Rattus norvegicus: one gene and its partners. The protein of the gene in region 1 interacts with the protein of each later gene in a biochemical or structural test. Links are inferred from orthologs where the notes say so. Each region holds a gene or a part of one and is shown in the gene's direction. Other genes may lie near its edges.

Region 1 (3,931 bases):
CCTCCATCCCAAGTGAGGAAACGGGGGGCCACAGTAGGGAGGGGCGTGGGGCCTCAACCGCGCAGCTGCCGCTTCCATTACCTTCCTCCTAAGGTCTCCTTCCGGTTCTCGATGCTTCTCTGAGTCTAAGGGTTTCCGCCACTCGTCTACCCTCCCCCTCAGCCCATGACCCGCCTCCGTCCCCCGCCCTCCCGGTCCGACCTCCGATCGGTTTAGTAAGAAGGTGCTGTTCGGACAGGGAGACGGCAAGAGGGTGGCGCGTCCACTCGGCCTGGACGAGGGAGGCAAACCGCTCCCCTTCAACCCTCAGCTCGCCCTGCGCTCGCGACGGCGGCGTTGGCGGACGGATACGCGGCGGTGAATAGGCGGGGGGAGAGGGGGAGGGGCGGAGCGTGGCAGCTGGCAGTAGTTCCGTCAGAGCGGACATCTTGTGGCTGTGCCGTGCGCGTGAGCCCCGTAGGGCCGGGGAGGCACCAGCTGCCGCGCGGGGAGGAGGCCGAGGCCGCAGCTCGAGGGAGGCCCCGGCCCTCTGTACGCGTGGGTGTGGACAGCTCGGGAAAGGGGAGGGAGACGGGCCGGGGCCGGCGCGGCGCCCCGGGCTGTGGGCGGCCCGAGTGGGCAGCCCTCGGGGCTGGGTGGGGTAGGATGGGAAGGCCGGCGGAGCCCGGGCCCGGCTGAAGGGGGAGGGGGCATGGGCGCGTCCTCGCGCCGGAGCTCCGCGGCCGCCGGGCGCGTGGAGAGGTGGCTGGGCGCGCGCACGCAGGAGCGCGCCGTGAGGCGGAGAGTACGGTGGTGTCAGGGGCGACCCAGAACAGCTCTAGCTGTGGGGACAACAGCACACGCGAGTCTAATTGCCTTCTGCTGGCTCGCCGACCCTCGAAGCAGAAACCGAAAGAAGCCCGGCGTCGGTCCGGAGCCTCCCGCTCCCCTCCCCCTTGCCTTTCTTTGCCCTAGTGACGCCGGCCTAGCGCCGACTAGGCCCGGGCTCCTCCTCTGCCGGGCTCTGGACCCTGCCCCGCACCCACCCCTTTCTCCTCCGCCTCTTCCTCTCCCACCCGGGGCTCTTCCTTTCAAGAGGCCGGGAAGTTAAACTTGTAACCACCTCTCGGCTCTTCCCGTCACCCTCGCCCTCTCTGGGCGAAGCGCGGATATAAGTAGCTGGTGGCTCTGCCACCCCACCCTGCCCGGATCGCGACGGTTTTCAGGGTTCTGGAATCAGCAGGGTTCCTCTGAGGCCTTGGCGAGTGGCTGATCTGCTCCGTTTTTGCAAAAGGCGCCTGTGTCTGGCAGAGCCGGTGTGAGAAGAAGAGAGAATCCTTCCCCGCCGCCGGGATAATCAAGAGTTTTGGCCGGACCTTTGAGTACACATCGGGATAGTGAGAAGCCCGGCGAAAAGCACAGACTATGGCGCTGAAACGGATTAATAAGGTAAGTTGTTGGGACTAAATGTTGCGGATGGGGTCGCGGGAAGAAAGGCTTGGTGCCCAGAGAAAAGCCTGGAGAGTTGGATTCTGAAAATACCTTACATGGGGTAAGAGAAGGCAGGGGCACTTTGAAATGAGCTGTAAGATAGGGAACGGAATGGTTTTGGCAAGCGAAATGTTTGTTTCACTAGAATCTGCTAGTATGGGTGAGGGAGCGTGGCATTTATTTAGTCTCCTCAGTTTTTTGCCTAAGAGTCAGGTTTGGGGAGTAGAATTATGTACAGGCCTCGGCAGATGCCATGGCACTGCTTCCTATTCTAGGTTCTTCAAAACATTTTAGCTATTAAGGCTATAGGCATTCTAAAGAAAGGAATGTAACAGTTGAAAGACGTTTTGTTCCAAACTTGACTGAGAGTCGGGGTATGACAAACATACCTCAGTTTGCTAAAATGCGGTGACGAAGTCTGTTCAGAAGCTTAACCAAATCTGGGCAGTTACACAAGAGTATGTGGGGTTGGGAGGAGGTGGACCGACACTGTTGCCACTTCCTGTGTTGTGTGGTCGCTGCTTTCACCCAAAGCTATGTATCTGAGGCACCAGGAACCTATATGTAAAAGCCTTCTGAAAGATTCCGGGGTTGGGGGTGTTTGACAGTGCAGGGAAACTGGATGGAGGACTGCTTTGCTTAGAACCCCCTTCCTTAAGGAGGCTTGTTTGAGCAATTCACTAGAATTTGATAAGTCGTTGCTTTAATTTGGAAAGAGCTACGATTTTTCCAGAAATACAGTGTAAGTGGAGCCACTTCTCTGGTGGTTTTTGTCTCGTTTTCTTGCTCTAACTTCTATCCCGCATTTTAAGATGGCGGCTGCTTTAACTGGCTCAGGCTCTTCCCGGCATCTCCTTTTCTAACTATAAGATAATGGTCTCTGTTAAGCGTTAGTTTTTTTAATCCGGTTGTAGGGAGCTCTCAGAGCCTCTGCTCCCAAGACTAAACCTAAATTCAAACTCTCAGACTAAGTTTCTGTGTGTGTGTGTGTGTGTGTGTGTGTGTGTGTGTGTGTGTGTGTGTGTATTTTGTATTTGGTTCTTTCACAATCGAGAGGGTGGAGTATTTACAGCCAACTTGAAAAAAAATGTGGAGTAAACTCAGTCCTAATAGAAAAGACAAAATGGGAAGGTTCGGTATTAGAAACTTTGACTTAGCACAGTTTTTAAAGAGTTCTGTGGAAAGGCGAGGACTTGGATTGACTATAGGTCTAATACTACTGTATTTGTAGTTATTTTATATTATATATATATATGTGTGCGTGTGTGTATATATATATATATATACATATATATATCTTGATCAGCTTGATTGGAAAAAGCTGTAGTTTCTGAAAAGTTAATTCTTACCTGAATATATTGTTGTTGAATCTTGAATTCTTAGGACATCCTGGTAATCTTTGTGGTTTTATGCAAAACACTTAACTGAACTGTTTGTATTCTTGATGATAATGGAAAGAGAAAGAAAACCTTAGAATTCAAGACTTCAAATAGATAATAGATAACATTAAAATTACCACTTAGTGTGACAATTTTGAGGGTGAACCTCACATTAGAGATGCATTATTGTGCTTTATAGCATAATTAATACAGAAACTATATCATTCAGTGTTAATCAAATTTCAGATCCATAGTGTAAAACGAACATTTTAAAGGGAGGTCTTACTGATTTTTTTTCTTTTTACAGGTGATACTCAGCTGTTTTGGCAACATTTTAATGACTTAAAAGCTCTAGCGAGGCAGTAATGGTTAAGTGTAAACATTTGTAGTAAAAAACATGAGATAGAATCAGACTCTAAGCAAGTTTATCAATTTGCCTAATCTGTACTAGGAATTTTTCTAGCTACTGGGATGGCAAGAGAAAACATATTTTTGCAAGTTTAAAGAATTATGTATGGATATTAAGAGGTAAATTTTTTATATTCGAAAACTGTTTATATGCCAAATGGCTGATGCTTCTACCTGTAGGGTATTCCAGCATATCATGGTTTTTCCTTCAGATACTGTCAGAACCATGAAGCAACTTAAAAAATGGCACCCAGATGCAGGAATAGTTTGTGAAAGTACAGAAGGAGGATCCTTTTCTTCTTAAGGCAGTATTGTCATGAGGTTTTTTTGTATTGTTCCCTGTTTAGAATTTATTCTTCTGGTTCCCCCTAAACAAGTGTTAACAAGCCATTACTATTTTTATTAAAATGCAACTGAGCTTTAGTGATAAATGGGTATAAGTTGATACTTTTATCTTTTTTTTTCTTTTGTGTGTTTGCTTGACTGTTTCTTAGCTCACCAAACAACCATACGTGTATTCTTTTGCTGTGTTTGTAATTATTTGGACTAAATTGTAGTATGGTGCTGTTATTAAATGGGTATTTTAGCAGCTGAATTCCAAATCTGTGTTTTTGGAACTTTAAGAAAATTTACTGCTACAAAGCAGAATGACTGTTACATAATTGGGGGACTTT
Region 2 (4,220 bases), on another chromosome or scaffold:
CCCAAGTGCTGGGATTACAGATGTGTGTCATCATGCTAGCTAACAGGTCACTTTTGCCACAGAAAGCAGCATTTCCTGGTTTTGGCCTTCGTGCTGAGGGTTGAACCTAAGATGTGACATATACCAGGCAGGTACTCTGTCACTGAGCACCAAATCCTTATGCACCAAATCCCCATTAGTGGTGTCCCCCTGGGTATATCCATGCTAAGCTAAATCCTCATGAACTGTGTCCCTACTAAGCTAAAATCCCCCTGGGTATATCCATGCTAAGCTAAATTCCCATGACCTGTATCCCTACTAAGCTAAATCTCCCTGAGTATATCCATGCTAAGCTAAATCCCCATGAGTTGTATCCTAACTAAACTGCATAGACAGCCTCTTTATTTTGCCCCCCCCCCCCCTTTTTTTGAGAGGCTTCTTGTAGCCAAGGCTGGCTTTGAACTCCGGAACCTCTGGCCTCCCAAGTACTCAGATCACTTTCTAGTTTGAAACAGCTTCACCAAGCTGCTCAGGCAGACCCTGAACTTGGTATTCTCTTGCCTCAGCATCTCAAACAGCTGGGATAACAAGTCTGTGTCACAGGACTGGCTAAAGCCTGTATTTTAGTTCCTAGTTGGAGGGCAAGTGGTCTGATTCCTTTGTGCTCTTTGAAGCCACTAAGGCCTGAGATACATGCTCCTTCCCCTCCGCCCTTAGAGCCTGTGTGCTGTGGTGTGTGTGTGTGTGTGTGTGTGTGTGTGTGTGTGTGTATTATGTGGGTTGTTGTGAGGAATCTCAGTCTTAGTAGTGGTGACTATTGCAGTTTCTGGAGCCCTGGCTACCCCTCCTACAGGGTGGGTTTGTGAGAAGTCACCAGTGCTAGTCCAACATCCAGTCTTTGTCAAATTGGATCAGGCCTAACATATGGATGATGTCCCTTTATTCAGTGAGGGGCTGGTCATGGTGGATGCCTGAAGAGAGAGTAGGGTGGAGGGCTACTACGGGGGACACTAAGTTTGGGAGGGTTGGAACAGTATCCCGTGAAACAGCTTGTTTGGCCAAGGAATGGCTACCTGACAGTAGGCATCTGTGTCGTCTGAGCCTCTGTGCTGGGGCATCCATCCCCCTTGGCTTGGGGACTACACTGCTGAGTCATAAGCAGGCCCAAACCTGGGAGGAGCCTAGGCTCGGATACTTACCGGCCCTTTTCCCATCGAACTGAGACTGAGGCTGGTCTCTTGGGGTCACCCATGCATTCGGAGGGAAAGAAAAAGAGGAGGCGGTGGGGGCGTCTCGCCCCCATACCTGTCAGGGGTCCTATCAAGGGCCCTCGAGCGGCCGCCCGGACAGCGGGGAGGGGCGGAGCTCAGAGAGGTTCCGCCCCCCACGAGGCGGGGCTCCCCCCGTATCCTATAAAAGCTGGGCTCTCGGAGCCGCCGCTGCCCAGCTGTTTCCTCCGTACCTAGTCTGCGGTTATGGCTTCGCTCACGGTGAAGGCCTATCTACTGGGCAAGGAGGAGGCGGCCCGCGAGATCCGCCGCTTCAGCTTCTGCTTCAGCCCGGAGCCGGAGGCGGAAGCCGCGGCTGGCCCGGGGCCCTGCGAGAGGCTGCTGAGCCGGGTGGCTGTGCTGTTCCCCGCGCTGCGGCCTGGAGGCTTTCAGGCGCACTACCGCGGTAAGGGCTCGGGGCGGGGAAGCCATCCTCCCCCGCCGCGGAGTATCAGGTCTGGGCGAGGACGCGATGGCGTGTCCTCTGGCTGCCCGCGGGGACAGGGTGGTCAGGCGGCCGCTCAGGTTACAGCTGACATCCCGCGGTTCGCTTGCTCCTCGTATCATCAGGTGATGGGTTCAGTTAAAGGCCCGGAAGAGCTGGGACCGGGCAGATGTGGAGGAGGGGTGGAGAGCAGTGACGCGGGTAAATAAGCGGCGGGGGCGGGGTGGGGCAGCCCGTGGGAAGGGAGGTAGGGGACCCCGGAACTAGCTCCGTCTCTTGCGTTGCAGTGGTTGATGGCTGCATGGGGTGGAGCTAGAAGTTGTTGACAAGAGACTAGTGGACAAGGCCCTCCCCCTGGGAGGGGATAAGATTGAGATCTCTTTATGGAGGACTGTGGGTAGGCCAGGTTGGTTGATCAGTCTGTCTCTTTTCTGAGATAAAGCCACGTAGCCTGATTCGCCTTGAATTTACGAGTGGTTTAGGCTGGCCTCACTTCAATCCTCTTGTCTCAGCTTTCCAGTGCAGGAATCATAGGGATTATTCTGGACAAAAAATGTTCAGTGTAAGTGAGTTTTAACCTAGGTCCAGTACAATTCACCCAGGTCTTAATGTCCTTCCGAGTCATCTTTGTGCTAGGGCCTCATGTATGTTAGGCTCTCGACTGACTGAGCTACCACCCCGCCCCCCAAACTCCTTGCATTTTTTAAAAAGTGAGTTATATAACTATTATCACATTCGGTTTAGAATCTTTTTTTTTTTTATAAATTTTACGTGTGTGTGTGTATAGCCTAGCCTGATACACACACACACACACACACACACACACACATATATGTATATATATATATATATCCTAGCCTGCAGATGTGTGGTTTGTCCTGTATGAGGTGGTTGAAGACTGTTTGTACTGACATAGAAATATATGGCTGCGCTCCCAGTACCTGTGTGCTAATGTAAAAATGAAAGCAGATGGGTTTGAGAAATGACTCAGTGGTTAAAGCCTTTGCTGCTCTTCCAGAGGACCCAAGTTCTGTTCCTAGCGCTCATATCAACTGCAGCTCCTGGGGATCCCACACCCTCTTATGGCCTTCGTGGCACATGCATACACATAAGTGTGCATGTGTGTATGTGTGTGTGTGTGTCTGTGTGTTCAAGTGCGTACATACATATGTAAAAGTAAATATCAAAAGGCAAAAAAGAAAAAAAACCCAAAAAAACCCAAACCACTTGGCAGCTTGGTTGCATATGTTTGTGATCCCAGCACTAAGGAGGCTCACCTACACAAGTTGGAGGCTGTCCTGTTCTAAGCAGTCTCAGGCCAGGCAGGGCGCAGAAAACCTAGAATTGACAAAAACAAAACCAACAGAGCAACCTCAACCTCAGAACAACTTAGACAGCGTCTGAATGCACAGTGGTTTCTGGTCACGTAGTTGAAGGGAGGGGACAGATGGGCTTACCTCCTTTCCTTCTGAAGCCTGAGGCCTTTGAAGGGCTGGACCATCAGGACAGGGTACTGGCTGGAATCTCCCAGGTGAAAATGGACCTGGCCTACTTACGTGTGGCCTGAGGGCACAAATGGCCCAGTGGTTTGTGGCAGGAAGCTGGACCCTTACACACATGACATATGCTCTGCCTTGTGCATGTACCGGATCTAGGACTTGGGTTAGAACATGTACTCACGCCATATCAGAATGAGTGGCCATCTGGCTGCTTGCTCCAGCACTCAGATTGCGTCTAGAGCCTCTGTAGATGTCCCTTACCATTGGGCTCCCTGTACATAGCAGTGGGCATCCAGCAGATGCTGGGTACCTGTGCTGCCCTTTCGGCTTCTAGTTCTGGGAATGGCACCTAAGTCTTCTGCACGCTCCACCAATGAGCTGTGTCCCTGGCTCTGATATGTTGTTTCCTAAACAATCTAGATGAGGATGGGGACTTGGTCGCCTTCTCCAGTGATGAGGAACTGACAATGGCCATGTCCTATGTGAAAGATGACATCTTCCGCATCTACATTAAAGGTAAAGACTGCATCCAGGTACTTCCCATCGGACTTCCTCTAAGGCTCAGGGGTCTGAGTTGTCTCTAGGACAGAGATGAGTTCTGATGCCTTGGGGTGGATATAGGGGGGTTGGGAGGTGTCAGAGGTACAAAGGTCCTGCTGTGTGGGCCATGGGTGTTGAACAGAGCAGGGCTTGGTACCTCTTGGCCTCCTAAGTGGTTTACCTGCAACTAAATTGGACTCTTGGACTCTCCCTGCAGAGAAGAAGGAGTGCCGGCGGGAACATCGCCCCCCATGTGCTCAGGAGGCACGAAGCATGGTGCACCCCAACGTGATTTGTGATGGTTGCAATGGGCCTGTGGTGGGAACTCGCTATAAGTGCAGTGTGTGCCCCGACTACGACCTGTGCAGCGTCTGCGAGGGGAAGGGCCTGCACAGGGAGCACAGCAAGCTCATCTTTCCCAACCCCTTTGGCCACCTCTCTGATGTGAGCTGGTTCTCTGCAGTCCTGGGGCGGTGTCGGACAGGGTGG
Region 3 (4,073 bases), on another chromosome or scaffold:
ATACACACACACACCATATATACATACACACAAGCAGACTACACACACATACCATATACACACTCACACACAGAAGCATACCACACACTCATACATATACAACATACACTCACACCATAAACACACACAAACATATACAACATATACACATATATACACAAGCACACACACTCATACATATACAACATACTGAAGCCCAGACAGACCACACAGATTCATCATACATACACATACATACATACACAACCATACACATGAGTGTGTATGCATGAAAGCGCGCGCATACACACACATACACACACACACACACACACACACACACAGAGCCTTAAGGGTTTTTTATTTAAAAAAATTTTTTTGAGACAGGATTTCTCTGTGTATCCCTGGCTATTCTGAGCTTACAAGTGCCTCTGCCTCCCAAGTGCTGGGATTAAAGTAGTGGGCCACCACTGCCTGACTAAAAAAAAAATTAATTTCTATTTTTTACTTTGATTTTATGTGTATGAGTGTTTTGCCTGCATATATAGCGGTGCACAATTTGCATGCTCAGTGCCCACAGAGGAGATCATAGAGGATCTTCTAGAATGAAATTACGGAACATTGTAAGCTGCAGTGAGGGTCCCATGAACTAAATTTGGGTCACACACACATATACCAAAACACATCAACATAGACAGATACACAAAGCATACACACTCATATACACACAAGCACTGACACAAAGTACACACACACATACCATATACACATATACACACACGAGCACACTCATAACACACATACAACGTTCATACACACACACACCATAGACACATACACACAAACATACACAACAGTTCTTAAATAAGAGTGGCTCCACTGAGCCAGCTCTCCCGCCTTGATTTAACAGAGCTTGAATTGGATTGAAGAATGCTTTATTCCTCACCAAATACCCTTGGAGGAGAGTTGGGTCATTTTACCTGTCTCACCTGGTACACAACACCACCTCAAGAGGAGATAGACAAGTGGTCTATCAGTTGATTTCATCGCTAGCTGGCCTTGCAGCCTGGAGAGGATACAGTGACCCCTTTTGTCTTCCCACCGCAAGTGGGAGTCAAGGCTCTGCAGCTGTGGAGCCTAGATGGAAGCCAGCTAGGCATCCATCTCTATGGTCTCGCTCTCCAGGTCCCTCCTCCCCGGCTCTCCGCGTGCCTCTATGGTTCTTCCTGTCATTAGTCGGGAGGGGGCGCTGCGCGCAGGCGCGAGGTAGACGCTGAAGCAAGGCCGGAAGGAACGCAGTAGCGGCCTCGGCGGCAGCGGCGGCGGCGACGACAGCATTGGCAGTGGCGGCTGTAGCAGCGGGGAAGCTTTTCGAGCGGATGCTTCAGGTGACTTGAGATTGAACTCCCGGGCGTCGAGCCCCGCTCGCGGAGCTGGACTAGCTGCGTGGCGAGTACGTGATGGGCGGGCGCGCGCGTCGTCTCCCGGGGGCTGCGGGTCGAGCGAGGAGAGTGGCCTCCCGCCGGGGCGCCACTGGGGTGGGGGCGGGGGCTGAGGGGGACGCGTTCGCGAGCCCCGGGGGTCCGGGGGTCCGCGCAGGGGGTGTCGGGAGAGGAGCGACGCAGACGACCGCTGGCCTGCCGGCTCCCCTCCCGCCACTTAAGGAAGTTTCTCGGGCCGGCCTGCTGCGCGGGGGGCGTCGAGCCACTGAGAGACGGTTCGCTGGCGGCTCGCTGTGGCCGCACTCCCCACCGCGGCCTGGAGAAGCGGAAGAGGCGGCGAACTGTTGACTTTGAACTCCAGCCCGGGCCAGTTTGGGCCCCTTGGAGTCCAAGTTGACGCCTGTCATCCCAATCAGCGCTCCGGAGCAAAAGGGACTCGAAACTCCTGCAGTCGGGCGTCCTGGTGCGCGGTGGAGAGAGCGCTCCCGTGGCGCGTGGCACCTTGGGTGAGCGGCAAGACCCACGCTGGAGTGGACGAGGCGGCCCCTTGTGGGGCTCATCGGTCATCCCAAACTCCCTGGCTTTCTAAGGGGTGCAATGACCTGGGACCCTCTCCTCCATTGTGTTGACTGTCTTGGAAGCCATCTCTGCTGGCGTTTGTCTTGGTTTCGTTTCTTCCTTTCTTTTCTTTTCCTTTTTTTTTTTTTTTTGTTAAAGAATTTTACTGCATATCGGAGGTTAGCCTGCAACCTGAAAAGTAGATAAGGCTGGCCCCAAGGGACTCAGGAATTTGCATGCCTCTGGCCCAGTGTAGGTCACCTTGTCCTACCATTATGTTGTTATTGTTATTTTAAGATAGATTCTAACTGTAACCCTTGCTAGCCTGGAGCTCAGATGTCCGCTTGCTTCTGCCTCCTGATTGTAGGGATTGAAGGCCTGTGTCACCTTGCTCAACGTTTTTCTCCTACCCAACAGCTGCTCTACCCCGAGCTCCACACACGCCCTTGCTGGATTTTGGTTTGGTTTGGTTTGGTTTGGTTGTTTGGGTGACTCTAGTGGATTTATTGGGTTTTTGTACAGTGCAGGGGTGAAGGATTATGTATTGGAGCCTGTGTGCTCCGAAACATCTGCTTGAGGGCCAAGTTTCAACCCCACCATGGATGGTGACTTTATGAGAGCTCCACCTGCTTGTTATCTTAACATATACAGAGAAGGGGCTTGTCCTTGCCTGGAGGGAGGGAGGGACAGTATTTTTATGACCTTTGTTTAGCTTATCCGAATTATGAGATTTCCAAGCCTTGCATTCTGTTTGTATCCCAATAAACTGTCTAGGGAAGGGTGGTGAACTTGAGGAAATGGCTGAGGCTCTTGAGCCTGGATTTGGATACCTGTGAACCTGTTGCATTAGCGTGAACTTTTATCTAAAAAGGACAAGAGCAGCTAGTGAAAAGTTCTTGAGAAATCTAATAAAGTTGTGGCTCGGGGAGATTGAAAGTTTATGAAATTTGCTGTGTGAGGTAATGGTTTCTGTGTTTACTATTCTCCAGATTTTATCTGCACAAAGCTGTTTGTTTGTTTGTTTGAGGTAGGGTTTCTCTGTAACAGAGCCTTGGCTGACTCCCTTTGTAGACCAGACTGGTTTTGTACTCCTGCCTCTGCCTCCTGAGCAGGGGCTGTTCTTCCAGAGGACTTAGGTTCAATTCCCAACACCCACATGGCAGCTTACAACTAACTGTAATTCTGGTTCCAGGGATCCTACACCCTTATACAGACACACATGCAGATAAAGCACCAATGTGCATAAGTAAAAATAAACGATTAAAGAAACATTCCCTGTGTATATGGACACTTAAGGGCACTTGTGGTCAGAGGACGGCTTTTGGAAGTTGGTTTTCTTCTGCTGTACGGGTCCAGACAGTGCCACTCATGCTGTCTGTCAGGTTTGCAGCAAGTGCCCTTAACCTATTGAGCTCATGCAGCAGCCTTAGCTGCACACAACTTGGTGCTAAGTGCTAGATATAACTCTCCTTAGACTTGTCAATAACGTAGGTTCTCTAATAGCTTTTGTTGTGGGTCAGGGGGAAGGGAGATGCTGAAAAATAACTTGATACAAAGGTCACTCAGTTACACAATTTAAAAGTTTTAAATTACATTTATTCTTTGACAGTTTCATGTATAATGTATTAATGACTCTTATCCCATTAAACACACACACACACACACACACACACACACACACACACACACACAATTTCCATTCCCACAGTCATGATGTTTGTTTGTTTGGTTGGGTTTTTTTTTTGTAATCCACTGAGTTTAGCCAGGGCCATTTACATGAGCATGGGTGTGAGCTATCCAATGGCTAGATTATTTTCCCATTAATTTATTTATTCCCTTTACATCCTGATCTCACCCCCTCGAAGTCCAAGAAGGGGGAGGTTCCTCCCAAGAAACCCACCTTGGCACTTCAAGTCACTGCAGGACTAGATGTATCCTCTCTCACTGAGGCCAGACAAGACAGCCCAGTTAGGGAAGCCGTATCCACATGGAGGCCATAGTGTCAGGGTAAGCCCCCAGTCCAGTTTTGAGAGACTTCCATGAAGACCAAGCTGCACACCTGCTCCATATAGGGAGGGGTTAGGTCCAGCCCAT
Region 4 (4,040 bases), on another chromosome or scaffold:
TTGGGGGTGGGGGGGCAGATGTTTACAAAGCACGTTCCATGATAGCCAGGACCACACGAGCAACTCTGTCTCTTAAAACCTAAAAACCAAACCAAAACAAAAAACCCCATATTTTAATACCTGTTCTTTTGGGGTTTGTGGTGAGGGGTCGTGGTGGTGACTGGGGGTGTGTAGTGACATTATTTTGTTATTTTGTGATAGGGTCTCATATAGTCCAGGCTTGCTTTGAACTCCTGCCTCTGCCTTCTAAGTACTGGGGTTATTGGCATTTACCCATCATGCCCTGCTTTACCTTTTATTCCAAGACATGATATCACTATGTAGCTCATGGCCTTAAACTTTGGATCCTCCTGCCTCAGCCTCCTGAGGAGCTGGGAATATAGGCTGCAGATCACCCGCTCTTAGAACTCTGTTCACTCCTGTCTCCAGAGAACCCCATATTCCAATGCCCCGGAAGTTCTTCCTGGGACCCAAGAATGAACACATATGTAAAGAGTCCAGTGGAGCCTCCTGTATCCACAGGTGTCAGGGCAGGTTCTGAGGCAGCACAGGAAGTTCCTGTTTGTCTCTGGGCTGTGAGCATGGCAGTTCAGGGAAAACACAGGAACCTGGGAAGGCAAGTTGTCAGCCTTGGCGGCAAGCACCTTTACCCACTGAGCCATCGAGCTGGCCCTCATGAAACCCTTGTCAGCATGTAGTGTGATGATTGGCTGAGGGCTGTCAGGGTGGGCTGCCCAACATGGGAGTCTCAAAAGACTCTAGTGAAATGCTTGACTGGAGTCTGGGGCAGGAGAAAGCCCTTTCACAGAAGGGCTATCCCAAGGCCTTAGAGCTGTTCAGAATCCAGAAGGGGAACAGACTTAGGTTGGTACAGGGGCGCTGGCTGTTAATCTTGTGTATGCCAACCCCACCCCCCACCCAAGTTCCACTCCCTTACTCCCAATTCACTGGAGGGGCAGGAGGGTGGAGACCAACTTCTTCATGAAACTAGGGTACCTGGCCCTCCCCTGAACCTGGCTCTGAACAATCTGTTCTTGTTTACGACCCCCATTGCAGGGCAACAGCGATTGCTCACCCCTGCATGTGATCTGAGAGGGCCAAATCTTTGAGGCCTGGAGGAAACTCAAGCCCTGCCAGCCGCTTGGCTTCGGAATGCTCAGCTGGTCCCCTCCTGGGGCTCATGTGACTGAAGGGCAGCTATAAATATCAGAAGGGCCTCAGACCAAGACAGAAGCCGGGTGTTCGGGGAGGAAGACAAAGAGGATCCGAGTGGGATCCCTTCCACTCGGTGTGACGCAGGTGGAAGAGACAGTCGCAGTTTCGAAGCAATATGGATTATAAATCTGGCTTGATTCCGGACGGAAATGCTATGGAGAACCTGGAGAAGCAGCTCATCTGCCCCATCTGCCTTGAGATGTTTACCAAGCCTGTGGTCATCCTGCCCTGCCAGCACAACCTCTGCCGGAAGTGTGCCAACGACATCTTCCAGGTCAGCGCTAGGCAGGGCCGGGACCTGGAATCCCCCCCCACCCCGCGCCCCCCCCCAGACCTCCCGCGGCTTCTCAGAGGCCCTTCCCCTCTCAGCCTAGAACACTTGCTCCATTAAGAAGCCATTCAGAGACCCCTGGGAAGGACTAGGGCTGGAGGTAGAGAAGGGGCTAAGGGGAAAGGGGGAGCTACTCCAGTCCTTCCGCAGTGTACTCATCTAGTCCCCACCCTGGCCACAGCTCTCTCCTCTGCTGGGAGAGCTTGCTGTTGATTCCCCAGTCAAGAGTCAAATACCTCAAGTGATAAGAGGAGGAGGTGGGTAGAGAGGAGAGAGAAACCAGGCCCTGGGGCCGGAGCCAGCTCCAGGTGGCAGGGGGCCCAGACTTTGGGAGGCGGGTGGCAAGAGGAACGTAACCTCAGCAGCATCTCAGAGGCTGCGTCCTCCAACAGCGGGCGAAGGGGCCCCATCTTCTGAGGAGGGAAAGGGCACAGTTGAGGCAACGCACTGGGGAGAGCGTCCAGAAGGACGACAGGAAATGCTCTTCCAAACTCAGGTCTAGTTGCCTATTCCAATAATCTCACGTTCAGGAACCTGAGGCAGGAGGATTGCTAAGAGTTTAGGGTCAGTCTGTGCTACCTGATTAGTTTGAGATAACAAGATCCTGCCTTAAAAACAAAACAAAACAAAAAAATTTCCCTACAGTTATCTTTAAGGTAATATCCTAGGAGCTGGCTCTAATTCTAAGAAAGACCTGTGGTCTCCGTGGTAAACTGAGGCATAGCGAGATTATAGTTGCGCGTCTGAAGTCACACGACTTGAACTCATGTTGGCTGGTACTGAACCTCTTGCCTGTTTGAGTGCTTCAACCACGATGCTTCAGCACATGGTTGGGCTGGGCCAAGGCCAGGAGCCGGTGGGTGCCCTTTGGTTTGGCAAGTGTGTTTGGGGCAACTGGGGCAAGGAGAACTGAGACCGGAGAGGATGGGAACGCCCGCCTTTTCTGCAGGCTGCCAATCCCTACTGGACCAACCGCGGTGGCTCGGTGTCCATGTCTGGAGGTCGTTTCCGCTGCCCCTCGTGCCGCCATGAAGTGATCATGGACCGGCATGGGGTGTACGGTCTGCAGAGGAACCTGCTGGTGGAGAACATCATCGACATCTACAAGCAGGAATGCTCCAGGTCAGTGTGCAGCTGAAATGCCCCGCCTCCTGACCACGCCTCCTGACCGCGCCTCTCCCCAGACCCCTCCCACCTCAGCGAGCCACATTCATCAGCAGGCAGAGCCAACAACCTCTTCCTCAGACCAAACCTCAGCTCTTGAGTTTTGCGTATACGGGGAGCTAGAAAAAGAGTCCTGAGACTAGGGTGCAGGGGCGTGTGTGTGTGTGTGTGTGTGTGTGTGTGTGTTTGCGCTCATGGTAGAGATTGGACCTCATTAGGCTAGGGCTCTTCCACTGAACTACATCCCCAGAGCTTGCAGTTTTAAGATGGAGCCTTGACATATAGTGAAGGTTGGTATCAACTTGAGATCCTATTGTTTTTCAATCTCAGCTTTAAAATTTTATTTCTTTTATTTTGCTTACAAAGAAGGGTGTGTGTGTGTGTGTGTGTGTGTGTGTGTGTGTGTGTCTGTGAATACCAGAAGAGGGTACTGGCTCCCTGTATTAGTCAGGGTTCACTATAGAAAAATAACATATATTAATATATATGATCGATTGGAATGGCTTACAGGCTGTGTGTGGTCCAGCTAGTCCATAATGGCTATCTACCAACAGAAGGTCCAAAAATCCAGTGGCTGTGCAATCCACAAGGTTGGATGTCTCAGCTGGTCTTCATTATGTGCCAGAGTCCCCCAGAGAGTAGGCTCTAACGCCAGTGAAGGAACAGACTTGCTATTGAGAGCGAGAGCAGCAGGCCAATAGACAGCCCCCTTCCTCCATGTCCTCTCTATGGGCTGCCAGGACAAGGTGTGGCCCAGATTAGAAGTGGATCTAGATTAAAAGTGGGGCTTCCCACTTCAAATGATTTAATTAAGGAAAAACTCCCTGGCTAAGCAGTGGTGGTGTACACCTTTAATCCCAGCACTCAGGAGACAGAGGCAGATGGATCTCAGTGAATTTGAAGCCAGCCTGGTCTACAGAGCGAGTTCTAGGACAGCCAGGGCTACAAAGAGAAGAAACCCTGCCTCAACAAACAAACAAACCAACAAGCAAACCCAGCCACTTGGATTTTAGTTCATTACAGATGAATCAAGTGGACAAGATTCAGCTCTCCCAATCGCCCTGAAACCAGAACTGGGGTTACAGACAGCTACGAGCTGCCATGTGGGTGCTGGGAACCAAACCCAGGTCCTTTGCAGGAATAGTAAGTTCTCAACTGCTTTCCCCAGCCTTCACAGTGACTACCATATACCTCTTTGTTACATCGTGTCTCTTGTTGCTAGAACACAGCACTCCAAATGGACGTTGTTGAGCCCCAGGCACGGTGGCGTAGGCCCTGTGGTCCCAGCTACTAGGGAGTCTGAGGCAGGAGGATCTCAGTTTCAAGGTTC
Region 5 (3,257 bases), on another chromosome or scaffold:
GGGTTTGGTCTCCAGTACAACAAACTAGACATACATGACAAAAGTCAAATAGTCCCCTTCACTCTTTGTAGAATGGATACCAAGAGTCCTTGATTTGGGAGGTGGGGGCAGGAAAATCAGAGGTTTAAAGTCACCTGTAGCTGTGTAGCAAGTTCAAGGCCAACATAGATTCATGAGATTTTAAAATCTGTAAAACATGGCCTTCCATTTGGTTTTATTTTTCTCATCGTGTACATTGTTTTTACTGAAACTGATGGTAATTCGTAATTCCTTAGAGCGTCATTAAGGAGAGCTGTGTCATGTTTGTCACTTCTGACATGCTTGAGCCCCGTGGTAGTATAAAATATGCCTCTGCTTATGCCACTAGTTTTGATTGGTGTAGAAATTTAGAACTCAGGCCCAGCCTGTAGTCCCAGCCATTTGGGAAGCTGAAGCAAGAGGATTGCCAGTGAACAACTTAGACCCAGTCTTAAAAGTGAATAGTAGAAAAGGAAAGGGATATAGCTTATGGTAGAATGCTTGCCTGGCATGTGTCTATCTCTGGTGCTGAAAATAAAGTAACGTTTTAATTAATCTGCTTATGTGTTCCTCTCCTATGTGTCACTTGTGTCTATTTACAAGAGAGATTTTGCCAAGTATGTAGTTATAGGAAGACCTGCTCGATATTTCTGTATTTTACCTGCAATGCAAAGTTGTAAGCGTAAGTGGCTGTCACTGTTGCCTGTGCAGCAGTCCTCCTTGAGAAAGGACAAAAAACCAGGGGAAGTGCACTGTGTGTTTTCCGGCACATGTATTCTGCTTTTACCACCATGATACTGTTCTTGTCTCTCCTTCCCACCAGAAATTAGACGGCTGCAACAAGATGACCTGTACTGGCTGTATGCAGTATTTCTGCTGGGTTTGCATGGGCTCTCTCTCAAGAGCAAACCCTTACAAACATTTCACTGATCCTGATTCTCCATGCTTTAACAGGTTTGTACACATAGGGTTCCTTAAGACTTAGCAGGTAAAAAAACTCAGGTGTGCCTGCATGAGGACATGTATATGCACAGGTGTACCCTGGATAGGCAGAGACCCAAGAGGGTTTCTGTCAGAGTTGAAGCTAGAAGTACAGATTGTTTGCAGGATGCCTGTTTTGTCACATGAGAACTGGGATCCGAACTCCTGTCCTCATGAATGAACAGCATTCTTGACCACTGAACCATCTTCCTAGCCCATCCGGAATGTTTTGATGCCAGTATGCAGGCTGGTTTATTTTCTGAATACCAGTTTTTTTTTTTTTTTTTCTAAAGTAGCTAGACTTGGAGAACTTTTTTCCCACATGTGATTTTTAAGTCTTCTTGAAAATGGGTAAAATTTTATTTTTTACTTTTTATCCTCACCTTAAAAAAAATTATACTTAGCTGGGCAGTAGTGGACACTCCTTTAATCCCAGTACTTGGAAAGGCCAAAGCAGGCAGATTGCTGAATTCAAGGCTAACCGGGTCTATAGAGTGAGTTCCAAGACAGCCAGGCTGTAAAGAGGAACCTTGCCTGGGAGGGTGGAGGGGATATGTTTATGGGTGTTTTGCTTGCATGTGCGTCTTATATTACATGTATGCCTGGTGCTCACAGAGTATGGAAAAGCATGTTGTGTCCCTTGGTACTGAAGTTAAAGATAGTTGTGAAGCCACTATTTACGTAGTGCTAGGAATCAAACCCAGGACTTCTGGAAGAGTAGCTGTGCTCTTAACAGTTGTACCATCTCTCCACCCCTACACCTACCCGTCATTTTTAATGACAAAGCATATGTGATATAGGCTGGTCTAGGATTTTAAAACTGTTTTAAATTATTTGTGTGGGAGGGTTTGGGTGTTGGCGTGTTGGTGTTGGTGCACGTGTGAGGTCAGGACAGCTTTCAGTACTTGTTACCTGCTTCTGCCACCTTCCCCTGGGAATCTAACTCAGGGCAGGCACCTCTGTCTGATGGGCCCTGGGGCTCGCCCTGGCTTGGAAGTCTCAGTACTCCTTTTTTTGTTTGTTTGTTTTTTGTTTGCTTGTTTTTCAAGACAAGGTTTCTCAGTGTAGCCTCATGTGTCCTGAAACTTATTCCGTAGTCCAGGCTAGCCTCGAACTCAGAGATCTGCCTGCCTTTACTCCACACTGAGCTTAGTTCTCCTTTTATGGTAAAAGTTTTCTAGCGTGTAGAAAGGTTGAGAGACTATAGCTGTGACTGGTGTGAGTAAACAGTGAACAGTACACTGACTTACTCTCTCTACTGTCTCAGAGAGGCATTGCTAAACTGCTTGAGGGTGAATTATGGCAATGCTTCCACTCTGTTACTTCATTATATATCCTAAATTTAGAAAATGCCTGTAAGACTGAGGGTGTAGTTCAATGCTTAGCATGTGTAGGAGCTTTGAGTTTAATCCCCTTCCCACACCCAGCTCCCCAAAACCAGAATGTTTCTATGCAATGATAGTACTTTAAAAGTGAATGGTGGCCAGGCATGGTGGTGCCCACCTTTAATTGTAACTTTCAGGAGGCAGAAACAGGAGGAGGATCTCTGAGTTTGAAGCTGGCCTGGTCTACATAGTGAGTTCCAGGACAGCCAGTGCGTCATAGAGAGACCTTTTCTCTTTTCTTTTTTCTTTTTTCTTTTTTTTTTTTTTTTTTCGGAGCTGGGGACCGAACCCAGGGCCTTCCGCTTGCTAGGCAAGCGCTCTACCACTGAGCTAAATCCCCAACCAGAGAGACCTTTTCTCAAAATAAATAACTAAGTGTGATATATACTATCTTGTTTTGATATATATCAAAACATATTTAAGACTTCCATTCATCGGGATAGCAAGATGGCTCAGCAGGTAAAGGCACTTGCTGCTCATGATCTGATGACCTGAGTTAGAGCCCTAGAACCAATATGAAGGTAGTTTAAATATCCTCTGACCTCTACATGTGCACCTCCAACTGCACAGCACATACTAATCTTAAAAACAACACACCTTCCTCTTAGCATTCAGAATATCTATTACCGTCAGTTAAGGAGCCAGGATCTAGTCAGCTTCAGTCTGGTTGTTTTTCTTTTTCTTTTTTCTCTTTTTTCTTTTTTTAAATCATTTCTTTACTTTATGTATAGGAGTACACTGTAGCTGTCTTCAGACACACCAGAAGAGGGCATCAGATCCCATTACAGATGGTTGTGAGCCACCATGTGGTTTCTGGGATTTGAACTCAGGACCTCTGGAAGAGCAGTCAGTGCTCTTAACCACTGGGCCGTC
Region 6 (4,258 bases), on another chromosome or scaffold:
TTAGTGGCTACTTTCCCAAATGCTGAGATTACAGAAATGTGTCTCTTTGTTGAGCTCTTCAGACTCAACATACCAAACCCAATAGGCATTTACTCATGTTAAAGTCTGGGGTATAGGACCAAAGCTAAACACCCCCAAAACCAGGAGGGAAGCAATAACAGCCAATCTCTAAACTGCTGAGCTTTAGCCAGTACCATAAAGATATTATCACCCCCACTTTAACCTTTAACAAGTATTCTTTTTTTTAAAGATTTATTTATTATATATAAGTACACTGTAGCTATCTTCAGACACACCAGAAGAGGACATTAGATCTCATTACAGATGGTTATGAGCCACCATATGGTTGCTGGGATTTGAACTCAGGACCTCTGGAAGAACAGTAGGTGACCTTAACCATTGAGCCATTTCTCCAAAGCCCTCCCCTACCCCCCACCCTCCAAGATTCTTTGAAGCCTCCAGTGTAACTTTTTGTTGCTGTTTTCCTTGAACGTCACATGTCTATAAAGCCAATATCTGCTTGTCATAAAGCACATTCTATAAAATGCTAGTGTTGCAAATAAATGCTAACAAAAATCTTTACAGTAAATTTGTTGCAATTTCTTCTTTTAGCACTAAGAACTTTAGAAAGCTTGGTTGGGAGAAAAACAGAAGGGTAGCCCGAAAAATACTAAAAGAATAATTACAAAAATTATTGTTTGTATCTTGGTTTAGAGAGTTACTTTTTAGCCAGCGAATAACAAAATTTCTACAACCTACAGTGGCTGAACCACCAAAGGCGGGAGGAGTTGCTACTGGCAGGCCAAGCGCGAGTGCACAGCAGCTCCCGGAAGTCCCGCCCAAATGGGCGGTTCCTTGGAGGAAGACAGTTTTGGCGGGAGTTGTGACATTTGTAGCGCCTGTGTACCTACTCGGGCCGCGCCTAATAGATCGACTGGCTTGACAGCGAGTCTGAGCCGCTGGGTCTTGAGACCCGGGGGAACCGCGAGGCGGCCAGAAGCTGGAGCGTGGGCACTGGAGGGCTGCCTCCACTGCAACTGCGACACGGAAGTCCAGCGGCGGCCCGAGCCCGGTTTCCGGGTGATCTTGGAGCGGCGGTCTCCGGGCTTCCGGTGCTGGCCGGCTCGGCGGCCTCGCGCAAAGAGGCGGGTCCTCCACTAAGTAAGAAGGGGAGCTGGATGCGACCTTCTGTGGCGCGGGGAGCTAGAACCCCTCTCCGCCCCGAGGCCTCCGCGCTCCGGGAGGAACGTTCTTTCATTCCCTTGCTGGACGCAGGGCATAACTGTTTACCTGACATCACAGCTCCTGTTCGCCTCGGGCCTGTGGAAACTCAGGCCGTCTGGATTTCAGTACGCTGCTGTATGTGAGAATAAACGCCAGAAGGCTCCTGATTTTCTTCATACTTTATGTGCTTAGCCGAAAGACGACTTTTGTTCCTTTCAGCTGTTGACGTTGGGTAGGCCACATTAGCATATGAAGATGGCTGCACCTAAAAACTCCATCCCTTCCTTAGCGGAATGTCAGTGCGGGATCTGCATGGAAATCCTCGTAGAGCCTGTTACCCTACCTTGCAACCACACGCTCTGTAACCCATGCTTCCAATCGACTGTTGAAAAGGCCAATTTATGCTGTCCCTTCTGTCGCCGCCGGGTCTCTTCGTGGACTCGGTACCATACCCGAAGAAATTCTCTGGTCAATACAGACCTGTGGGAGATTATTCAAAAGCACTATGCAAAGGAATGCAAGCTTAGAATCTCTGGACAAGAATCAAAGGAAATCGGTAAGTAAGATTAAACATGTTTATTGGGTAAAATCCAAAATCTTTTAGAAAGGGAACCATTTTTGTTTCTCGAGACAGGGTTCCTCAGTGTAGCCCTAGCTAGCCCCGAACTCAGAAATCTACCTATGTCTGCCTCCTGCGTGATGGGATTAAATGTACTCGACCCCACCGCACTGCTAGAACCATCATCTTTTCTTTTTTTTTTTTTTTTCTTTCTTTCTTTTTTTCGAACCTAGGGCCTTGTGCTTGCTAGGCAAGCGCTCTACCACTGAGCTAAATCCCCAAACCCCCCCCCCCCCGCCTTTTTTTAATATTATTTATTTAATGTGTATGAGTATACCGTAGCTGTGAGCCACCATGTGGTTGCTGGGAATTGAACTCAGGACCTCTGGAAGAGCAGTCAGTGCTCTTAACCACTGAGCCACCTCCCCAGCCCGAATCATCATTTTCTAATTAAAAAAAGAAAAGAAAAGAAAAAGAAGGCTAAGTAGTCTGAATCGTGAGGATTTGTGGTTTTGTAGGCCTTGCCCACACAGACGTTAAAGTCAAGGACAGACTTTATCACATGTAATAATGGTCAACTTGTGTTCATCTACTGTGAATTTAGGGCTTTTTTTTTTTTTTTTTTTGGGTAACATTTTTTAGACATGTTTTGAGACAAGGTTTTATTACTATGTAGCTTGGGCTAGCCTTAGCCTCACACATAGTGGAGTTGTAGCAACTCGAGAACACACCTGCGCTTTATTCTTAGAATTAGTGAGGGTTGGCAACCTTTTCTGTAAAGGGCAGAATAGTATTTTGTGGACTGTATAGTCTACTGAGGACCGTGATATCTGCCACCGTAGACAATACATTAATTTACATTGCCCTTTGTAATTGAAGGCAGAGCCTGTGCTTCCATAAAACTATGAAAAGGAAATGTAAGGGCAGATGTGGCCTGCCAATGAACCATGACTAAATAGCCCCCGTCTTTAGAATATCACTATTACCTTCCTAAGAATAACTATCTGTGGAGGTAGCAGAATTAAGTAACTGCAGATACTCATGAAGGAAAAACTTGAGATCTCTTTTTTTTTTTTTTTTTTTTTTTTTTGGTTCTTTTCTTTTGGAGCTGGGGACCGAACCCAGGGCCTTGCGCTTCCTAGGCAAGCGCTCTACCACTGAGCTAAATCCCCAACCCCGAGATCTCTTTTAAGTATGTATTTAATTGAGTATGCGAGTGTATGTGCACCATGTGCATGCAGTGCAGAAGAGGCACGAGATCCCTAGAACTGAGGGGCAGACCGTTATAGGCTGCTATGGGAGTACTAGGAACCAACCAAACCTGCTTACCCTGAAAGAAGAGTAGGCATCCTTAACCACTGAGCCAACTCTCAGAAAATTCTTACCCTTAAAAGAAGTTCAAGGGTTGGGGATTTAGCTCAGTGGGCCCTGGGTTCAGTCCCCAGCTCCAAAAAAAAAGAAAAGAAAAAAAAAGAAGTTCAATTGATAAATTAGATATCAAGAGGTCAAAAGAGCCTACAAAGTGGAAGAAAATATTTGTTAAGAAAGTAATGCCTAGGGGTTGGAGATTTAGCTCAGCGGTAGAGCGCTTGCCTAGCAAGCGGAAGGCCCTGGGTTCGGTCCCCAGCTCCGAAAAAAAAAAAAGAAAAAAGAAAAAAAGAAAAAAAAGAAAAAAGAAAGTAATGCCTAAATAGAAGCAAGAGGATCACTAAATTCTAGGCCTGGCAGGGATAATTTGTGAGACCCTCTTAAAAATAACTGACCAGGGAAAAAACGCACTTAAAAAAGCTCAGCAGGAGTTTAGCCAAGACTACACAATAAGATCCTGTCTCAAAAAAAGATTCCTGGGGGCTGGAGAAATGGCTCAGTGGTTAAGAGCACTGACTGCTCTTCCAGAGGTCTTGAGTTCAATTCCCAGCAACCACATGGTGGCTCACAACCATCTGTAATACCCTATTCTGGTGTGTCTGGTGTACTCATATCCATTAAATAATATTTTTAAAAAATTGTAGTGTGGGATGAAGGCTTTGTTCAAGCTGTCATTACTTAGGAAAGCATTAATTTCATTAGTGGATCAATCCACTGATAAGTTCATCCCAACTGGGCTGTTAGGAGGCGAGGCCTGTCTGGAGGAAACACTGGTCACTGAAAATGCCTTTGACAGGTATACGTTGTTCTGGTTCCTCTCTGTGTTTCTTTGCTTCTTGACTGCAGTTGAAGTGGGCAACTCTGCTCTACCAAGGCTTTTCACAATTGCATAAAACCATAAATGTAAATTTCCGAATGAGCCAAACTAAACCTTTCCCCTCTGGTGTTGTTATGTGAGGTGTTTTGTCATAGCAGTAGTGGCTAACAGGAAGAAAATTGACAGAGTCTAAATTGAAGAGATAAAGAGATGCAGGCCAGCCTAGCCTGAACTCACAACAGTCTGCCTGCTTCGTCCTCAAGCTAGGACTAGAAGCGAGTGCTACGTGC
Region 7 (3,500 bases), about 33 Mb from region 1:
TAAAAATATCTCTAGTATGCTTCTTCAACTAACATTTAATTTTAATACCACTGTAAATTTTTTCCCTTGAAGATTACTTTTCAGTTACGTCATATTTTGAAAGCACGATGTGATCCTGTCCCTGCTGCCAATGGAGCAATTCGTTTCCACTGTGACCCCACATTCTGGGCCAAAAATGTCGTGAATTTAGGTGAGAAATCATTTTGTGAGTATTATTTGAACTATAAAGCTGAGAGGAGAAACCATTTTAGCAGATTCTTGATACAGTTTTTAAACTTTAAGATGTGAATGATTTGGGGTTGGGGATTTAGCTCAGTGGTAGAGCGCTTGCCTAGCAAGTGCAAGGCCCTGGGTTCGGTCCTCAGCTCCGGGGGAGAAAAAAAAAAAAAAAGATGTGAATGATTTAAGAAACGTGTTAGGCATTGGAAACTATGTCTAGGCTGTTTCTTTAGGTCTTGGTGCTAGGGCTTGAACCCTGTGTTCCAGCATGTTAAACAATGCTCTCTACTTACTCCTCACTCTTGTAGAGTGCTTTTCCTTGTGGTCCATTTCTACCTTCTTTTTCAGAATTAATACTGACTTAGTAATGATGATTCTCTGACTAGTTACTTAGATGCTCCATAGTTTAATTATACCAAGTGGTTGAGTCGAGAAGGAACTTGGGTTCACTGAGGTGTTATAGCCACATTCTAAGGAATGTTAGACAAAAGCCGTTCTTTTCACTTGATAAAGAAATAGACTTTGCTTTTGTCTCTCCATATCACTGACCTAACGACCATGGCTGAGGGTGGTAGAGGTAAACAAAAAGCCAAGCAAGCGACTTTGTACTTTAGCTACTACAAGGAGATTGAGGCAGTGCTGCTCGAGCCTGTCAGTTTAAGACCCTGTCTCTTAAGTAAAATGACTCAGAATGAAATCTGCCATCCATTGGCCTTCACATTGAAGGTAATCATGCCCTTGAGATTTGAATTTTACTGTTTAAAAATAACATTCTTTGGATAAATAGAAAAAAGATACTCAATTTTGACTTTAGATGTAGCACTGGAAAATCACTGTTGTTTGGCTTACTAGATGAGGGGTGGTGTTGGTAGAGAATGTAAGAGAGAGAGAGAGAGAGAGAGAGAGAGAGAGAGAGAGTGTGTGTGTGTGTGTGTGTGTGTGCATTTCATTTTGTACTTCATTTCCAAAAAGTTTTTTATAAAAATCATTATTTGCAACAGGATTTTTTCTTTGTGGCCTGCCAATATTACCTCAAAGAAAATGACTGTGTAAAAAGAAAGGGACATGACCAGATAAAAAGGAAGGGCCAGTTTAAAGGTATAAGTGTTTTAAAGTATTCAGAATTTCCATAGGAAATTATTTGGTAGCTGGGTATTACTTCACCCTTAACATTGGCAGTTTGAAAGCAGATGGAGAGATGGCTCAGTGGCTAAAAGTACTGCCTACCCTTTAGAGGACCCAGATTTATTACTCAGCACCCATGACAGCTCACAATTATCTGTAACTCCAATTCCAAGGGATCTGGTAGCCTCTTCTGATCTCTTCTGAGAACCAGGAATATATTGGTGCACAGACATATATAGTCAAAACACCTGTACACATTTAGAAAGAAAGAAACGGAAGGAAGGAACGATGGAAGGAAGAAAGGGAAAAAGAAAGCAGATAGAATCAGTAACAGCCATCCTGAATATATCCTGGAGTCTTTGTCATGGAAGAATTGGTTCAGACTGACTGGATCCTTCCTCTAATAATATCTCTTTCAGTCTCCAGCCAGCTAGCCTGGGTTATGCAGCAGCAAAGACACCGTGCCTCAAACTAGCTGGAAAGGTGAGGACTGACATCCAAAGGTTGTCCTCTGACCTCCACATGGGCACTGTTCTGCATGCCCACAACCATCCAAGCCCCTCCAAAAAAAAGCAAATGCACACATACATCACACCCACACAGGTCTAACTAAGAACAGATAGTGTATTGTGAATGATCAGCTTATTTGTGGGAGGGTTCAAGGGGCTTTGGAATCTGTTGCGTTTCTAATTAGCATCATTAAACCTAGCTCTCATTTGTGATGTGCTGTTGGATGCTCTGAGGTGCTAATTGTCAGAAGGAGGAAAAGATAGTGATTCATCTTTGAAGTGGGCAATTAAGTTGATTATTTGTAAATCCTTCTTATTTTTTTAAACCCTCAGGTAATCTAGTAATAGAGAGTAAACCAGCTCCTGGTTATACTCCTAATGTTGTAGTTGGGCAAGTTCCTCCAGGGACAAACCACATTAGTAAAACCCCTGGACAGATTAATTTAGCACAGCTTCGACTCCAGCACATGCAGCAACAAGTGTATGCACAGAAACATCAGCAGTTACAACAGATGAGATTGCAACAGCCACCAGCTCCTGTACCAACAACAACAACAACAACACAGCAGCATCCTAGGCAGGCAGCCCCACAGATGTTACAACAACAGGTAAGCACTGTGCCCTTCCATTAATGATAGAAATTAAGATCACAAATCTACACATCATTCTGTGCTCATGAATTACACAATATGAGTTACTAGGTGAAGTTCAAAGGTCAGAAATATGGAGAAAATTTGAATAATAAAGGTGTTAATAAGTAAGATCATGGGAAGCAATGACATTTTGCCCCTTCCCATAATACATGCCCACACATAACACATATAGTTGTGAGCCAAAGAACAAGATTGTTTCTAAGCTCTGATGCATTAGGCATTTGCTGCAATTATTCTTTCCTTTGGTGTTTATGTCCTGCTTCACAATCAATGTTGTTAATTCCACAATGAGATGAGTTAATGTTGACCCCCATTTCATCCCTTCCTCCCTCTCCCTCCCAGAAAGGGTAGCTAGAAAAAATTTGGAGTGACTTTTTATAGCAATTATCAGTTCTGTAAGAATTGGGGTTGAAAAAACGAATATGGCTTAATACTGTACCCTTAATAATACTTAATACTTACACCATTCTGTTCTGAATTACTATTACTTTAGCATTTTATGATTGAGCAATAAATTTGTAGAAATATGTCTGCTGGGTATGGTTGGTACATTTCCTTTAATCCCAGAACATGGGAAGCAAAGGCAAGTGGATCTGTGAGCTTGAGAATAGCCTGGTCTACATAGTGAGTTCCAGGACAGCTACAAAGAGAAAGCCTGTCTCAAAACAAACAAACAAACAAACAAAGAAAAAAGGAAATATTATATGAATTAAACGTTCTCCTTTTTACAGCCTCCAAGATTGATCAGTGTGCAAACAATGCAAAGAGGCAACATGAACTGTGGAGCATTTCAGGCCCATCAGATGAGACTGGCGCAGAATGCTGCCAGAATACCCGGGATACCCAGGCACAGTGGCCCTCAGTACTCCATGATGCAGCCACATCTCCAAAGACAAGTATGCCTAGAGTTACATTTGTAAGAGTCACACGATTTTAAAACTAAAGCGATCATGTGTTCATAATTAGAATGGTTCATGAGGGTCTTTGATATTTA

Evidence for each region.
Region 2: of the proteins of Ube2d3 (region 1) and Sqstm1, one has a biochemical effect on the other in vitro, tested with the Homo sapiens proteins (2 studies listed by BioGRID, with this or other methods). The link is inferred for Rattus norvegicus from reciprocal best matches to the Homo sapiens genes UBE2D3 and SQSTM1.
Region 3: the proteins of Ube2d3 (region 1) and Rnf216 form a complex in vitro, tested with the Homo sapiens proteins (2 studies listed by BioGRID). The link is inferred for Rattus norvegicus from reciprocal best matches to the Homo sapiens genes UBE2D3 and RNF216.
Region 4: the proteins of Ube2d3 (region 1) and Trim63 form a complex in vitro, tested with the Homo sapiens proteins (5 studies listed by BioGRID). The link is inferred for Rattus norvegicus from reciprocal best matches to the Homo sapiens genes UBE2D3 and TRIM63.
Region 5: the proteins of Ube2d3 (region 1) and Rnf14 form a complex in vitro, tested with the Homo sapiens proteins (2 studies listed by BioGRID, with this or other methods). The link is inferred for Rattus norvegicus from reciprocal best matches to the Homo sapiens genes UBE2D3 and RNF14.
Region 6: the proteins of Ube2d3 (region 1) and Rnf168 form a complex in vitro, tested with the Homo sapiens proteins (5 studies listed by BioGRID). The link is inferred for Rattus norvegicus from reciprocal best matches to the Homo sapiens genes UBE2D3 and RNF168.
Region 7: the proteins of Ube2d3 (region 1) and Trim33 form a complex in vitro, tested with the Homo sapiens proteins (2 studies listed by BioGRID). The link is inferred for Rattus norvegicus from reciprocal best matches to the Homo sapiens genes UBE2D3 and TRIM33.

Annotation. Positions count from the first base shown.
Region 1 is NC_086020.1:226,542,063-226,545,993, forward strand, and holds the start of Ube2d3 (ubiquitin-conjugating enzyme E2 D3), read left to right. Parts: upstream 1-1,131; 5' UTR 1,132-1,404; coding exon 1,405-1,428; intron 1,429-3,931. UniProt on the Homo sapiens protein: Accepts ubiquitin from the E1 complex and catalyzes its covalent attachment to other proteins. In vitro catalyzes 'Lys-11'-, as well as 'Lys-48'-linked polyubiquitination.
Region 2 is NC_086028.1:35,034,951-35,039,170, reverse strand, and holds the start of Sqstm1 (sequestosome-1), read left to right. Parts: upstream 1-1,420; 5' UTR 1,421-1,454; coding exon 1,455-1,653; intron 1,654-3,611; coding exon 3,612-3,707; intron 3,708-3,948; coding exon 3,949-4,175; intron 4,176-4,220. UniProt on the Homo sapiens protein: Molecular adapter required for selective macroautophagy (aggrephagy) by acting as a bridge between polyubiquitinated proteins and autophagosomes.
Region 3 is NC_086030.1:16,567,100-16,571,172, forward strand, and holds the start of Rnf216 (E3 ubiquitin-protein ligase RNF216), read left to right. Parts: upstream 1-1,273; 5' UTR 1,274-1,367; exon of another isoform or gene 1,368-1,432; intron 1,433-1,787; exon of another isoform or gene 1,788-1,927; intron 1,928-4,073.
Region 4 is NC_086023.1:151,815,996-151,820,035, forward strand, and holds the start of Trim63 (E3 ubiquitin-protein ligase TRIM63), read left to right. Parts: upstream 1-1,240; 5' UTR 1,241-1,330; coding exon 1,331-1,489; intron 1,490-2,495; coding exon 2,496-2,668; intron 2,669-4,040. UniProt on the Homo sapiens protein: E3 ubiquitin ligase. Mediates the ubiquitination and subsequent proteasomal degradation of CKM, GMEB1 and HIBADH.
Region 5 is NC_086036.1:30,400,845-30,404,101, forward strand, and holds part of Rnf14 (E3 ubiquitin-protein ligase RNF14), read left to right. Parts: intron 1-841; coding exon 842-972; intron 973-3,257. UniProt on the Homo sapiens protein: E3 ubiquitin-protein ligase that plays a key role in the RNF14-RNF25 translation quality control pathway, a pathway that takes place when a ribosome has stalled during translation, and which promotes ubiquitination and degradation of translation factors on stalled ribosomes.
Region 6 is NC_086029.1:82,010,507-82,014,764, reverse strand, and holds the start of Rnf168 (E3 ubiquitin-protein ligase RNF168), read left to right. Parts: upstream 1-1,458; 5' UTR 1,459-1,473; coding exon 1,474-1,780; intron 1,781-4,258. UniProt on the Homo sapiens protein: E3 ubiquitin-protein ligase required for accumulation of repair proteins to sites of DNA damage. Acts with UBE2N/UBC13 to amplify the RNF8-dependent histone ubiquitination.
Region 7 is NC_086020.1:193,549,327-193,552,826, forward strand, and holds part of Trim33 (E3 ubiquitin-protein ligase TRIM33), read left to right. Parts: intron 1-72; coding exon 73-190; intron 191-2,186; coding exon 2,187-2,461; intron 2,462-3,237; coding exon 3,238-3,402; intron 3,403-3,500. UniProt on the Homo sapiens protein: Acts as an E3 ubiquitin-protein ligase. Promotes SMAD4 ubiquitination, nuclear exclusion and degradation via the ubiquitin proteasome pathway. According to PubMed:16751102, does not promote a decrease in the level of endogenous SMAD4.